3 linked regions of the Rhinolophus ferrumequinum genome follow. The protein of the gene in region 2 purifies or fractionates together with the protein of the main gene of each other region. This does not show direct contact. Links are inferred from orthologs where the notes say so. Each region holds a gene or a part of one and is shown on either strand. Other genes may lie near its edges.

Region 1 (3,748 bases), on a different chromosome or scaffold from region 2:
TTCACTGAACCTTTGTGTATGCCCCATACCTTGCTTGGGACAGGAGATAATAAATCAAGCAGTTAGGGTTTCTGCCCTTAAGGAGCTTACTACATCCATCCTCGTGTGTGTGTGTGTGTGTGTGTGTGTGTGAGTAAACCAGTGCATAGGTCAAATTCATACAGATTACAAGTTGTGATAAGCCCTACGGGAACTGAGATGGAGATGTATGAGGTGGGTGGTCAGAGAAGGTCTCTGAGGAGGTGACATTTATGTTGAAACCTAGAAATGAGGAGCCAGCTGCCAGCTATGAGGTGAGAAAGGCAAGGACAACTGGCTTTGGGTCACTAGGTGGATAGTGGTACCATTGTGGGGAGTAAGGGAATGGAGAATTCTGCTTTGACGAGACACATTAAATTTGAGGTCAGTGGGTTCCCGAGTAGAGGTCAGGAATCTGGAGCGCTGGTATATTAGTGTTGGGAGTCAAATGGTATTTAAAGCCACTAGCCTGGGGAAGATCAACCAGTGCTTGTGTGTAGACAGAGGTCCAGGGCGTAGGCTGGGGCACACAACATAGTGATCTGATTGAGGTAAGGGTTCTCTGAAGAGACAGAAGGGATCAGGGAGGGCTTTTGACCTTCAGGCTTGATGGCCACCTGCCCCTAGGCCGCTCAAGAGAAGGCCCTGGAGGCGGTAGGAATGGTATAGGTGGAGAGAACTGGGAGGTGAGTGTGTTGACAGCAAATGTGGACGTCGCTTTGGAGGCCTCTGCCACGGAAGGGAGCAGAGATGGGGCAAAGGCTGGTGGGACTTAAGGCTCCAGGCTGACTTTTATTTAAAAGACCTGAGAACCCAGGTCAAACCAGGGCGGGTTTTGAGTAGGGATGGCACTGATTGGAGCTGGACCGGTAGGCGAGGCGCTCCGGAGAGAGACCCCCGAAGAATATGGGGCTTCGAGGTGGAGGCAGCTCAGCCCGGACAAAACGGAAGTCTAACTCGGAACTCAGTCCACCGGCCGCCGCGCCCGCGAACGGACGTGCTTGGCGCCAGGGACCACAGTTCTCCGCGAGCGGAGGGCCCGCTTCCGGGACGGGACCCGGAAGTGGTTATGGAGCTCCGCTGAGACACAGCGGACTGAGTTGTCTGTTGTTTTTCTGCGCTCCCTGCTCCTGCCACTGCCTCTGCCGCCGCCATGGGGAAGCGACAGCATCAGAAGGACAAGATGTAAGTTGAGCCTCAGCCGGCAGCGGGGCCCCACTCTGCCTCAGTCTTCGCCTGTCCCGCACTCAGCGCCGCCCCCTTTCTCTCTCAGAGCTGGTCCCCAGGGTCCCTCTCTGATGTCGTTTCCTCCAGGACACCTCCGCTTCTTCCCCAGCCGCCGAGGTCTCTCGAAATCCCGGCTCTAATATACCGTAGGTGTCCTCACCTGAGTGCGGCCCTCCCACCGCTTCGGCGCCGCGCGGGCACCGTCCCTTCGACTAAGCTTTTGTCCCGGACCGCCCGCCTGTCCACTCGCGAGTTCTGCTCCCGAATTAATTCCTCTCTCTTCACCTCCAGTCTCTCGCTGTGTGCTGGTTCGCGGCGATCAGCCTACACACATGCTACAGAATCTCCCCGTTTAAAACAAACTAACCTTGCCCGTATTCCCTTCCAGTTGCCACCATGTTTCTTACGTGAAAGACCTGTGTCTACTTGCTGTTTTCTGCTGTCTCTTGAAACCACTCCAGTCAGGCTTTCGCCCCTTAGGACTCTTGTCAGGATCGCAGTAACTTCTATGTTGCTAAATCTAGTGGTCAATTCTCAGTCCTCTCTTTGTGGACCTTGTCAACAGCAGTTGCCCACCCCTCTCCTTTGGAAGCCCATCTTTGGTATCTGCTCTTTATTTTCTTTCTTTCTTTTTTTTTTAATTATTCCGTATTTTATTATTTCTAAAGTATCTAGTGATCAATTTTGGAAAAATGCATAATTGTTTTTTTAAAAATTTATTGGGGTGACAATTGTTAGTAAAATTACACAGATTTCAGGTGTACAATTCTGTATTACATCATCTATAAATCCCATTGTGTGTTCACCACCCAGAGTCAGTTCTCCTTCCATCACCATATATTTGATCCCCCTTACCCTCATCTCCTACCCCCCACCCCCCTTACCCTCTGGTAACCACTAAACGATTGTCTGTCTATGAGTTGTTTTTTTTTTTTTCAGTCTACCTCAGTGGCTTCTCTTTTCTCAGTCTCCTGTGCTGGATCCTGCTCCCCTCTCCAAGAACTCATAGGTCGACATCCCCCAGGTTTCGTCTCCGTTTACATTCTCCCTGGGTGATCTCTCCAGTCTTGCAGTAGTCAGCTGCTTACTCCACATCTCCACTTGGAGGTGTGATAGGCGTCTCAAATTTAATATGCCCCAAACTCTTGATTTTCAGCGCCAGAGCCTGCCCCCTCCCCCATCTTCCCTATCTCAGTGGTCACATAGCTACTCAGTTTGCTCAGGTCAGAAGTCTGGGAGTTAGCCTTGGTTGCCTCTTTCCCTCAGCTCGCTCTTCCTCTAGTCCATCTTAAGTCCTGCTGGCTCTTCCAGGAACTGACCACTCTTGTCCACCAATTTCCATGTAGGTGGAGTTTATGCCAACTCCTTCCTGGACCGTTGTAGTCACTGGATTTCTGCTGCCTCTTTTGCTTGTCCTTCTACACGCAGCTGTCAGTGATGCTTTGAGGAAGGATGGTAGATCATATCAAGGCCCTGCCCCAAACCTTCCAACAGCTTTCCGTCCCACAAATCCAGTCCTTACATGGCCTGCCAGGCCCCCTGTGATCAGACCACTGTGACGTGTTTCTTTGCTGCCACATGCCCCCAATGCACACTCTTTTTCAGTGACTTTGCCCTTGTTTGGGAACACAACAGCTTTCTGTGCCTCGGGGCTTTTATGCATGCTAGGCCTGCTTGCTCCCTCTGCCTGGAAAGCTCTTTCCCCACATCTTTACAGGGCTAGCTCCTTCTCATCACCAACCCGCCTATTAGTTTTAGTTCATTTCCTTCAGAGCAAAGCACTGTTTGTTTACCAATTTGTTTACCAATTTGTATATCCCCATGTCTGTTGTGTTTATCATTGTGTGCCTGACATAGAGTAGGTGTTTAATAGGCATTTGCTGAATGATTGAAATGCTGCAGTTATCCATTACTTCCAGAAACTCTGTCCTCTCTATAAAGAGGATGGTAGTACGATTCTCTCTCTCTTCTTCAGGTACATTACCTGTGCTGAATACACTCACTTTTATGGTGGCAAAAAACCAGGTAAGGCATAAAATCCTTCTGTTCCCCTCAGTATGTGTGGGGGTGTAATTAAAAAATGACATCTTCACTATACAATGAACCTGTAAAAATGAACAATTAACAAGAATATGGAAACTGGTAGAGACAAATGGGCTGTGGACACAGAAAATTCAGAAAAGAGGAAATACACTAAACATATGAGAAACGGTTTAATTTTAGTGGTGGGTTTTTTGTTTTGTTTTTTTAACATGGGTTAAAATAACATTCTTTTCTCTATCAATTTAATACAAGCAGGCATACCTTGCCTTACTGTGCTTTGCAGATATTGCGTTTTTGAGCAAGTCTGTGGGTGCCATTTTTCCAACAGCATTTGTTCACTCCCTGTGTCTGTGTCACATTTTGGTGATTCTCACAATAATTTAAACTTTTTCATTATTGTATTTGTTATGGTGATCTGTGATCAGTGATCTTTGATGTCACTGTTATAATTGTTTTGAGG
Region 2 (3,748 bases):
TAACCTGCCAGGGTGATCACTTCATAAGGTATATAAAATGTTTAATCGTTATGTTGTATAACTGAAACTAACATATTATATCAACTGTAAATGAAAAATAAATTTAAGAAAATAAAATTATTTCCACTATTGTAATTGGGAAAAGATTTTTAAAAAATCCGTTACTTGAGAGGATTCTTCTCCCATCAATTATTAGTCCCTTTCCCTCAGTATAATCACATATATGTATGCATGTATGGACGTGGGTATATACATAGGTGGACATATACATATTTCGTCTCTACCAAATCTCAAGAACTGAAACTATCTGGGTCATCAGCGTGTTCCCAGCATCCCAGTTAGTACATTAATGCTCTCCTTTAGTGTTAATATTATTTTGCTCATTCCTCGAAGACTCTCTCCTCTTACACCTTTCTGCCCACACTAGTCTCTTTCCGTCACTCTCTTCTAAAGAAAATAATGGTGCTAAATAAATAAATGCTGAAAGGATGAACAGATCTGAAGGCCCTTAGTCAAAGAGTGTTCAAGTAATCTGCCTAAGGACTGACAGCTACCTAGGAGAGGAACTTGGATTTGAACCCATGCCTACCAGGCTCCAAATCCCACGCCCTCTCCACAACACACTGCCAAACAAAACCAAAAGGAAGGACATATAGTATTAAAGAGAAGGGAGTCAGAGGGTTTATGTTCCTTATGAAACACTACATGAACTGACTTTCTAATTGCATATGAACCTTAACGAAAACTGGTGGGGCGCGGGGGGGTGGGGTGGCGGGGTTACAGATTCACTCGTGGAGCGTTCTCCTCGGGAAGGCTTTTCTCCTCCTCCACCATCAGGATAGAGATGACCTCAGGGGAGGAATGAGAAAGAGGGAAACCAGGCCCACAAGTGTGTCCACATTGCTCGAATCTCTTCGCGCAACGTTTGCCTCAGTGCGCGCTGCGACACCCAACAAACTCCAGTCGCCCCAACCGCCGCTCCAACCGCCGTCTCACATTTTCATGGTGCCCTTAGGACCCAAGTTGGTCCGCAGCACATCCTGCAGCCCTCGAGCGGCGCATACATTGACGGCCAAGGCCGCTTGGGCCCGCGCCACCTCAGCCTTGGAGTTTATCGCCTTAATTGCAGACATAACCCGATAGAGGAAGGAGCCACCTAACCGGCAAAAACAGCCTGAGCCGCGATTCTAAGGGCCACCCCGGCGCCACGGCCCACGCTCCGAAACCTCAGCCAATCCCCGACCGGACAGGAAGTGACGTTAACAAACATCGCCGGGACGGAAGCCAGAATCGCCTTGGGGCCGGTCGCAAAGATGGCGTCCTCCGCCTCGGCTCGGTCTTCGGGCGGGAAGCGAGTGGTGAGTCAAGATGAATTGCGGCGGTTGATGAAGGAGAAGCAGCGCCTGAGCACCAACCGGAAACGGATAGACTCTCCACTTGCGAGGTACAACCGTTTGGGGCAGCTGAGTTGTGTGCTGTGTAACACCCCGGTTAAGAGCGAGCTCCTGTGGCCGACGCACGTCCTGGGAAAACAGCACCGAGAGAAAGTAGCCGGACTGAAAGATGCGAAGGAAGCCACAGAGGGGCCATCAACCAGCGCTGTGCCTCAGTCCACCAAGAGGAAGGCGCCGGACGCAGGTGGCCACGATGCCAAAAGAGCGAAGGCCTCCGCGGTGCCGCAGGTGCAGCCCTCCACGTCCGCGGTGCCCACCAACGTTGACAAAACAGGAAAGGAGTCCACTAGAGCCGCTCTCGGTAAGGCTTCGGGACTCGGTTTACTCCCTGATTATGAAGATGAGGAAGAGGAGGAGGAGGAAGGAGGAGAAAAGAAACGGGGGGACGCCAGCAAGCAGCCGCCTGACGCACAGGGCAAGGAACACTCACTTGCTTCCTCCCGGGAGGCAACAAGTAGTATCCTGCCAAGCGATTTCTCGACTGCAAATCCTCCCAAGGCCCCTTTAATTCCTCATTCAGGGTCAATTGAGAAAGCAGAAATACACGAAAAAGTCGTGGAAAGGAGAGAAAACACCGCGGAAGCATTACCAGAAGGGTTTTTTGACGACCCTGAGATAGATGCGAAGGTACGAAAGGTTGATGCCCCAAAGGATCAGATGGACAAAGAGTGGGACGAATTTCAAAAAGCCATGAGACAGGTCAACACTATTTCCGAAGCCATAGTTGCTGAAGAGGATGAGGAGGGACGGTTGGACCGGCAGATTGGGGAGATCGATGAACAGATAGAGTGTTACCGTCGGGTGGAGAACCTGCGGAATCGCCAGGATGAAATAAAAAATAAACTGAAGGAGGTTCTAACCATAAAAGAACTGCAGAAAAAGGAAGAAGAGAATGTTGACAGCGACGATGAGGGAGAACTGCAGGATTTATTGTCTCAGGATTGGAGGGTGAAAGGGGCTTTGTTATAGGGTTTCAAGGACCCAAGATTTCTAACACTCTGCGATTGGATAACAGTGTTTCTCTATTGGTTACTCCATAAAGGTTTGATAACTTGGTTGTTGTGGTATAGTGAGCACTTTGGAAAATTCATGTAAAATGTTTCTGAGGTAAAGTTGTTTTGAAATTTTTGAAGTAAATGCTAAAATGCCAACTTTTTCACATGTTTACGGATTTAAATGTATAATTTTTTGGGTTGGAAAATTTGTGAGCTGTAAATATTGTACATAGTTAAATATATATTGACTTAAGTAATTCTGTTTGTAAATTTATAATGGGAGTAAGACCAACAGGCAGGCATGTAGATGAATACCAAGTGTGGTATTTGGGATGTATATGGCTTTTTCTTTTCTCACCCCCTAAATCAAACTCCAGAGTGGGAGGGGCTTTGCTTTTTTGTTTTTAGAAACATTGTTCATAGATACATAAGTCATTCAGGGCTAATCAGTCCTCTGAGTATTCTGTTTCTGTTTCGAAAACATGCTGCAGGAGAACATGGTGAAAAATAATATGCCAAACAGGACCAGCCTCCTTAACCCAAAATTTCTCTTGATTAAACCAGTGATTCTCAGATGTTGGTGCACGTGAATCACCTATGAAGCTTTTTAAAAATGTGTGTGCCCAAGCCCTACGATTAGAGAGATTTCAGTAAATCTGGAGTGGGGCCCAGGCATCTGTATTAATTTTGAAAGCTTCCCAGTTTATTTTAATTACACCAAAGTTGGAGAGCCACTGCCCTAAATCCAGAACCCATTTATAATTTTTCAGGCTTTGTTTTTTTCTTTACCTAACATGTTCCATAAGTTTACTGTCTAGTGTATAAAATAAATATTACCTTTTTTTAATATTCCATCCAGTCTTAAATTTTATTACTACATTTTGGGGCAAATTAGGGTTCAGAGTTATCAGTTCTGTCTATTGTAGAAAGAATATACAGTAAGTCCTCACTTAACGTCTTTGATATGTTCTTGGAACTGCAGCAAAATGATACAATGAAATGAATTTTACCATAGGTAATTGATATAAACAAGAATTAAATTCCTACAGCATTTCATCAGTGTTATAATGAAAGGATGTTGAACAAAGAAAATGACATTTTTCAAGGACCTGCTATATAAGTTGTTTTCTCAAGGAGTAACAGTTGCCTTTTGCTGGTCATTGATAGTTTAGATCACTCCTTCTCCCTTTGGAGATAGAGGTATTCAAATAGGAAAAAGGGAATTAGCAATGTCTGAACATAGAAATGCATACAGCATATTCAAATAAAAGAGAACAGTAATAATAACACCTAAGACTT
Region 3 (3,748 bases), on a different chromosome or scaffold from region 2:
TGGCATTAACCTCCTGGTCTCCAGGGTTCCGCCCAATCCATTCTGGGCACAGTGGTCAGGGAGAGCCCATTTTAGAACATAAATATGACCATGAACTTCTCATTACAACCTCTGGTAGCTTCTCAAAGCCCCCAAATCCTCCACATGGCTTACAGGGCCCTGCAGGGTGTGGCCCTTTCCCACCTTTCCTGCCTGATTTCATATCCCCCACCATGTGGCCTTTCAGTTCCTTGATTGTGCAGAAGCTGTCTCCTCTCCCTGAAATCCTTTTCCCAGTGCCCTCCTCTCTCTGGCTCCTCTTCCTTCAGATTTCAGCTTAAATGTGACCTCAGGGAGGTCTTAATCCACTGCTCTAAAATAGGTGGCCCTGTTGTTTTCTACCACACGTCAATCTGTGATTTATGCTTTAGTTGGTTTATTCCAAGAGTCCGCACGCTTTTTTCCTGACGAGCCAGGTGGTAAATACCGAGTATTTTAGGCCTTGCAGGCCGTTACGTCTCCTGCCTGTGTAGCGTGAAAGCAGCCACAGACAATACTTAAGGAATGAGCATGGCTGTGTTCCCATAAAAGTTTATTTATGGGCACTGAAAATTGAATTTCATACCTCTTCACGTGTCAAGAGATAGTCTTGCTTTAATTTTTTTCCCAACTATTTAAAGATGTAAAAACCATTCCTAGCTCACAGGTTGCCCGAAAATAGGCGGCCGGGGGAGGCCGGCGGACCGCAGTTTATTTGTAGCAGTTTATTATTTGAGGACTCCGCCTGATTCCGACCAGACTTCTTTCCAGCAGCACTGAGCCCCGGCGGCACCTGGACCAGGGAGCTTCCCCCTAAACGCTTATCTCAGGTAGCGCGGGAAGCGGGGTGTGCCCTGGCAGGAGTGGGCGGGGTCTGCAAGCGCCGAGACGCGAGGGCGGAGCGGAGGGGCGGGGCCGTGGGCGAGGTGGGTGGGCCCAACGCCGGCTTCCGGAGGGACTGCCGGGAGCAAGATGGCCACTACGAAGCGTGTGCTGTACGTGGGTGAGCAGGCGCAGGCGCTAGGCGCGGGCTGGGCGAATCCGATCCAGTTGGGGCCAGGCGCGGGATCCGAGGCGAAGGGCGGCGAGCAGCTGTCCAGGCGGCACCTATGGCTTTACTGCTATGCTTCAGGATGTTAGCCCGAAACGTAGAGATCTTGCCGGCTCCCTTCCAAGTCTGCTGAGCTCTAACAGGAACCTCTTCGCCTCCTGGGCCCGGAGGATTGGTAGAGGAATATTATGGGCCTCCAAATCCTCGCGCCCACTCATTTTACAAACATTCATTTGCAGCGATGGCTCAGTCCTGGCCCCGGCCCTAAAGGAGGGGATTGCCAGACTAGCCAGGTAGAAGTGAGAATAATCTCAGTCAGCACGGTTTGATTAAGCGCTTTGATAGGGACGGACAATGATGACATGGGGCTGGGTGCGGGGAGAAATGATGCTTCCATCTGAAGAGGTAAGAACAAACTTTCAGGATGCGGTGACTCCGGAGCTGATGAGCCGGAGCTAGCCAGGTAGCCAAAGTAGAGGCAAATGTGTTTACGGAAGAGGAGCAGCAAGAGCAGAAGCCAGCGGTGTGAAATAGTCTTACTTGTGGGGGCAGGTGGGTCATTTTGCGGGAAACCCATGGAATTGGGGAAGCAGAGGGAAAGAGGCTGAAGAAGTGGGCAGGGCTCCGGTTAGGAAGAGCCTGCTGAGGAGTTTGTACCTTATCCTGAGGCCAGTGGGAAACTTCTGAAGGAGTTTAAACAGTTAATTGATGGGTTAAAATCGGCACCTTCCCAGGATCATTCTAATTGGCTGTGTGGAGGAGAGGGAGATCAGTTAGTAAGTCATTGTAGTAATTCTAGGTCTAGATGAGGATCTGCAAGAAGGGTAGAGAGAGCAGTGTGTTTCATAAGTATTGATGAGGGAGCAGATGAGAGGGGTGCTTATACCCAAAGTCCTGGATGGAATGACCCCTCCCCTTGGCTATAGCATGCTAACTAGGCTGCAGGGACTTCTTAAGAGAATGAAGGACAGTGACTCAGAAGGCCCTTGATGTCTTTGCAGGTGGACTTGCAGAGGAGGTGGACGACAAAGTTCTTCATGCTGCTTTTATTCCTTTCGGAGACATCACAGATATTCAGATTCCTCTGGATTATGAAACAGGTGAGTCCTTTAGTGTCTCTCATGTTCAGAATCCTCCTACTAGGAAAACAACTTTTTAAAAAATTTTAAAGTCATATCATAGTGCATTCCAAATATGGTTAGTATGTAGGAAAGTTCCGGTGAGTGCCTCAGTAGGGCAGCATGGCAGCCATTTTGATGCCGAAGGAATATTCTGAGGCTTGTGTTTGTGAACTGTCACATAAGTTTGCAGAGTCCCACCTGTTGGCTTTGAGATAACACAAAATTTTCAGTAGCCCAATAGGAAGACAGGTTTTGAGCTACATGGGGATCCTTGCTGGTTACCCCACCACACGTGCTCCCTTCTTGGCAGCTGTGCTATTAAACAGGGCAGCAGGAAACCCAAACCCAACACTGGGACCTTGGCCTCTGCACCTGGATAAGTTTTTCTACAATAGGTATCACAGTTCAGTTTTCTATTTTACCTTTGTTGGTCATTTTTAACATTGGAGTTTTAGGCCCAGCTCTATCATTGACCCTGTATGATTGTTAGCAATGTCTTTAAAATCTCTGGGCCTGGGATCTTTATCTGTAAAAAATCGTAAGTTATATTCGTTCTCTAAGGTTAGTTGGTTAATTTAATTAAATTAAAACTTCTGTGCTTGGCCTTTTTAGGTAGGTCAGCATATTCCTGAGGATAAAGACTGAGCAGCCTTATCTTATCTTCAGGATTCATGCTTTATGCACAGTTGATGCTCAAAATGTATATTTGTATTGAATAATTGAGAGAATAAATGATGTATTTTTTTCTAATTGCCTTGCATGCAAAGCTTAAGGTTTTAATTTGGCTTTGGTAGAAGAATTGAATGCTTAAAGATTAAAAGTGTAGTTTATTATTTAGCTATATTCACTAAAAAACGTTTAATATTGCTTGAAATCTTGTTTAAACTAGGAAGAGTCAAAGAATGAGAGTCCAAATAGTGATTGGGTGAATTTCTAGTGTCTGGATATGGTATGTGACTAACTTTACTTTTCTTGTGACCATCTGTTTCTTCCCATTGCCCCACGTGGAAATTACTTGTTTGTGTTTTCCTTTTTATTTTTAGAAAAGCACCGAGGATTTGCTTTTGTTGAATTTGAGTTGGCAGAGGTGAGAAAATTCTTTGTTACCTATGTTTCTTCTTTGGCTTGTGTTAGTGTTCTTACTGATTACAAAAGGAGCTGTTCTCCAGTTGGTTAGGTTTCTGGGCCTCATGCTGATGCTACCAGGGAGACAAGAAGTGCTGTTTGAAGAAAAACTTCCCTCACTTTATCAAACTATAGACTGTGGTTAGCATCCCAGACCTGCCAGGTCCTGCCCCTCTTGGTCTGCAGAACTCCTGCAGGCCTGCTCCTAGAGCATTCTTGCCTGACAGCACTGGTAATTCTCTTACGCCTTCCACTAGATGGCCAACTGCTGTACCACCAGCTCTAAAGTCAGCCAGGAAGTGCTCTGTGTTAGATGCATATGCAACCTAGACAAGAAGTGTAGGGGTGACTCTGTCCTGTTTTCTTTTTCCTACTGACTATTTGTTTAGCTACCACAGGAAGCTAAACTTGTACCGTGTCTTTTCTTGGCAGG

The links.
Region 1: the proteins of ZNF830 (region 2) and PPIL2 purify together in Homo sapiens (co-immunoprecipitation; 4 studies listed by BioGRID and IntAct, counting the BioPlex papers as one, with this or other methods). This does not show direct contact. The link is inferred for Rhinolophus ferrumequinum from reciprocal best matches to the Homo sapiens genes ZNF830 and PPIL2.
Region 3: the proteins of ZNF830 (region 2) and PPIE purify together in Homo sapiens (affinity purification with mass spectrometry; 3 studies listed by BioGRID and IntAct, counting the BioPlex papers as one, with this or other methods). This does not show direct contact. The link is inferred for Rhinolophus ferrumequinum from reciprocal best matches to the Homo sapiens genes ZNF830 and PPIE.

The regions. Positions count from the first base shown.
Region 1 is NC_046308.1:23,003,672-23,007,419, reverse strand, and holds the start of PPIL2 (RING-type E3 ubiquitin-protein ligase PPIL2), read left to right. Parts: upstream 1-1,063; 5' UTR 1,064-1,171; coding exon 1,172-1,203; intron 1,204-3,220; coding exon 3,221-3,270; intron 3,271-3,748. UniProt on the Homo sapiens protein: Has a ubiquitin-protein ligase activity acting as an E3 ubiquitin protein ligase or as an ubiquitin-ubiquitin ligase promoting elongation of ubiquitin chains on substrates.
Region 2 is NC_046304.1:22,917,535-22,921,282, forward strand, and holds ZNF830 (zinc finger protein 830), read left to right. Parts: upstream 1-1,264; 5' UTR 1,265-1,313; coding exon 1,314-2,423; 3' UTR 2,424-3,635; downstream 3,636-3,748.
Region 3 is NC_046292.1:27,843,712-27,847,459, forward strand, and holds the start of PPIE (peptidyl-prolyl cis-trans isomerase E), read left to right. Parts: upstream 1-1,063; 5' UTR 1,064-1,551; coding exon 1,552-1,621; intron 1,622-2,070; coding exon 2,071-2,169; intron 2,170-3,233; coding exon 3,234-3,277; intron 3,278-3,747; coding exon 3,748-3,748. UniProt on the Homo sapiens protein: Involved in pre-mRNA splicing as component of the spliceosome. Combines RNA-binding and PPIase activities.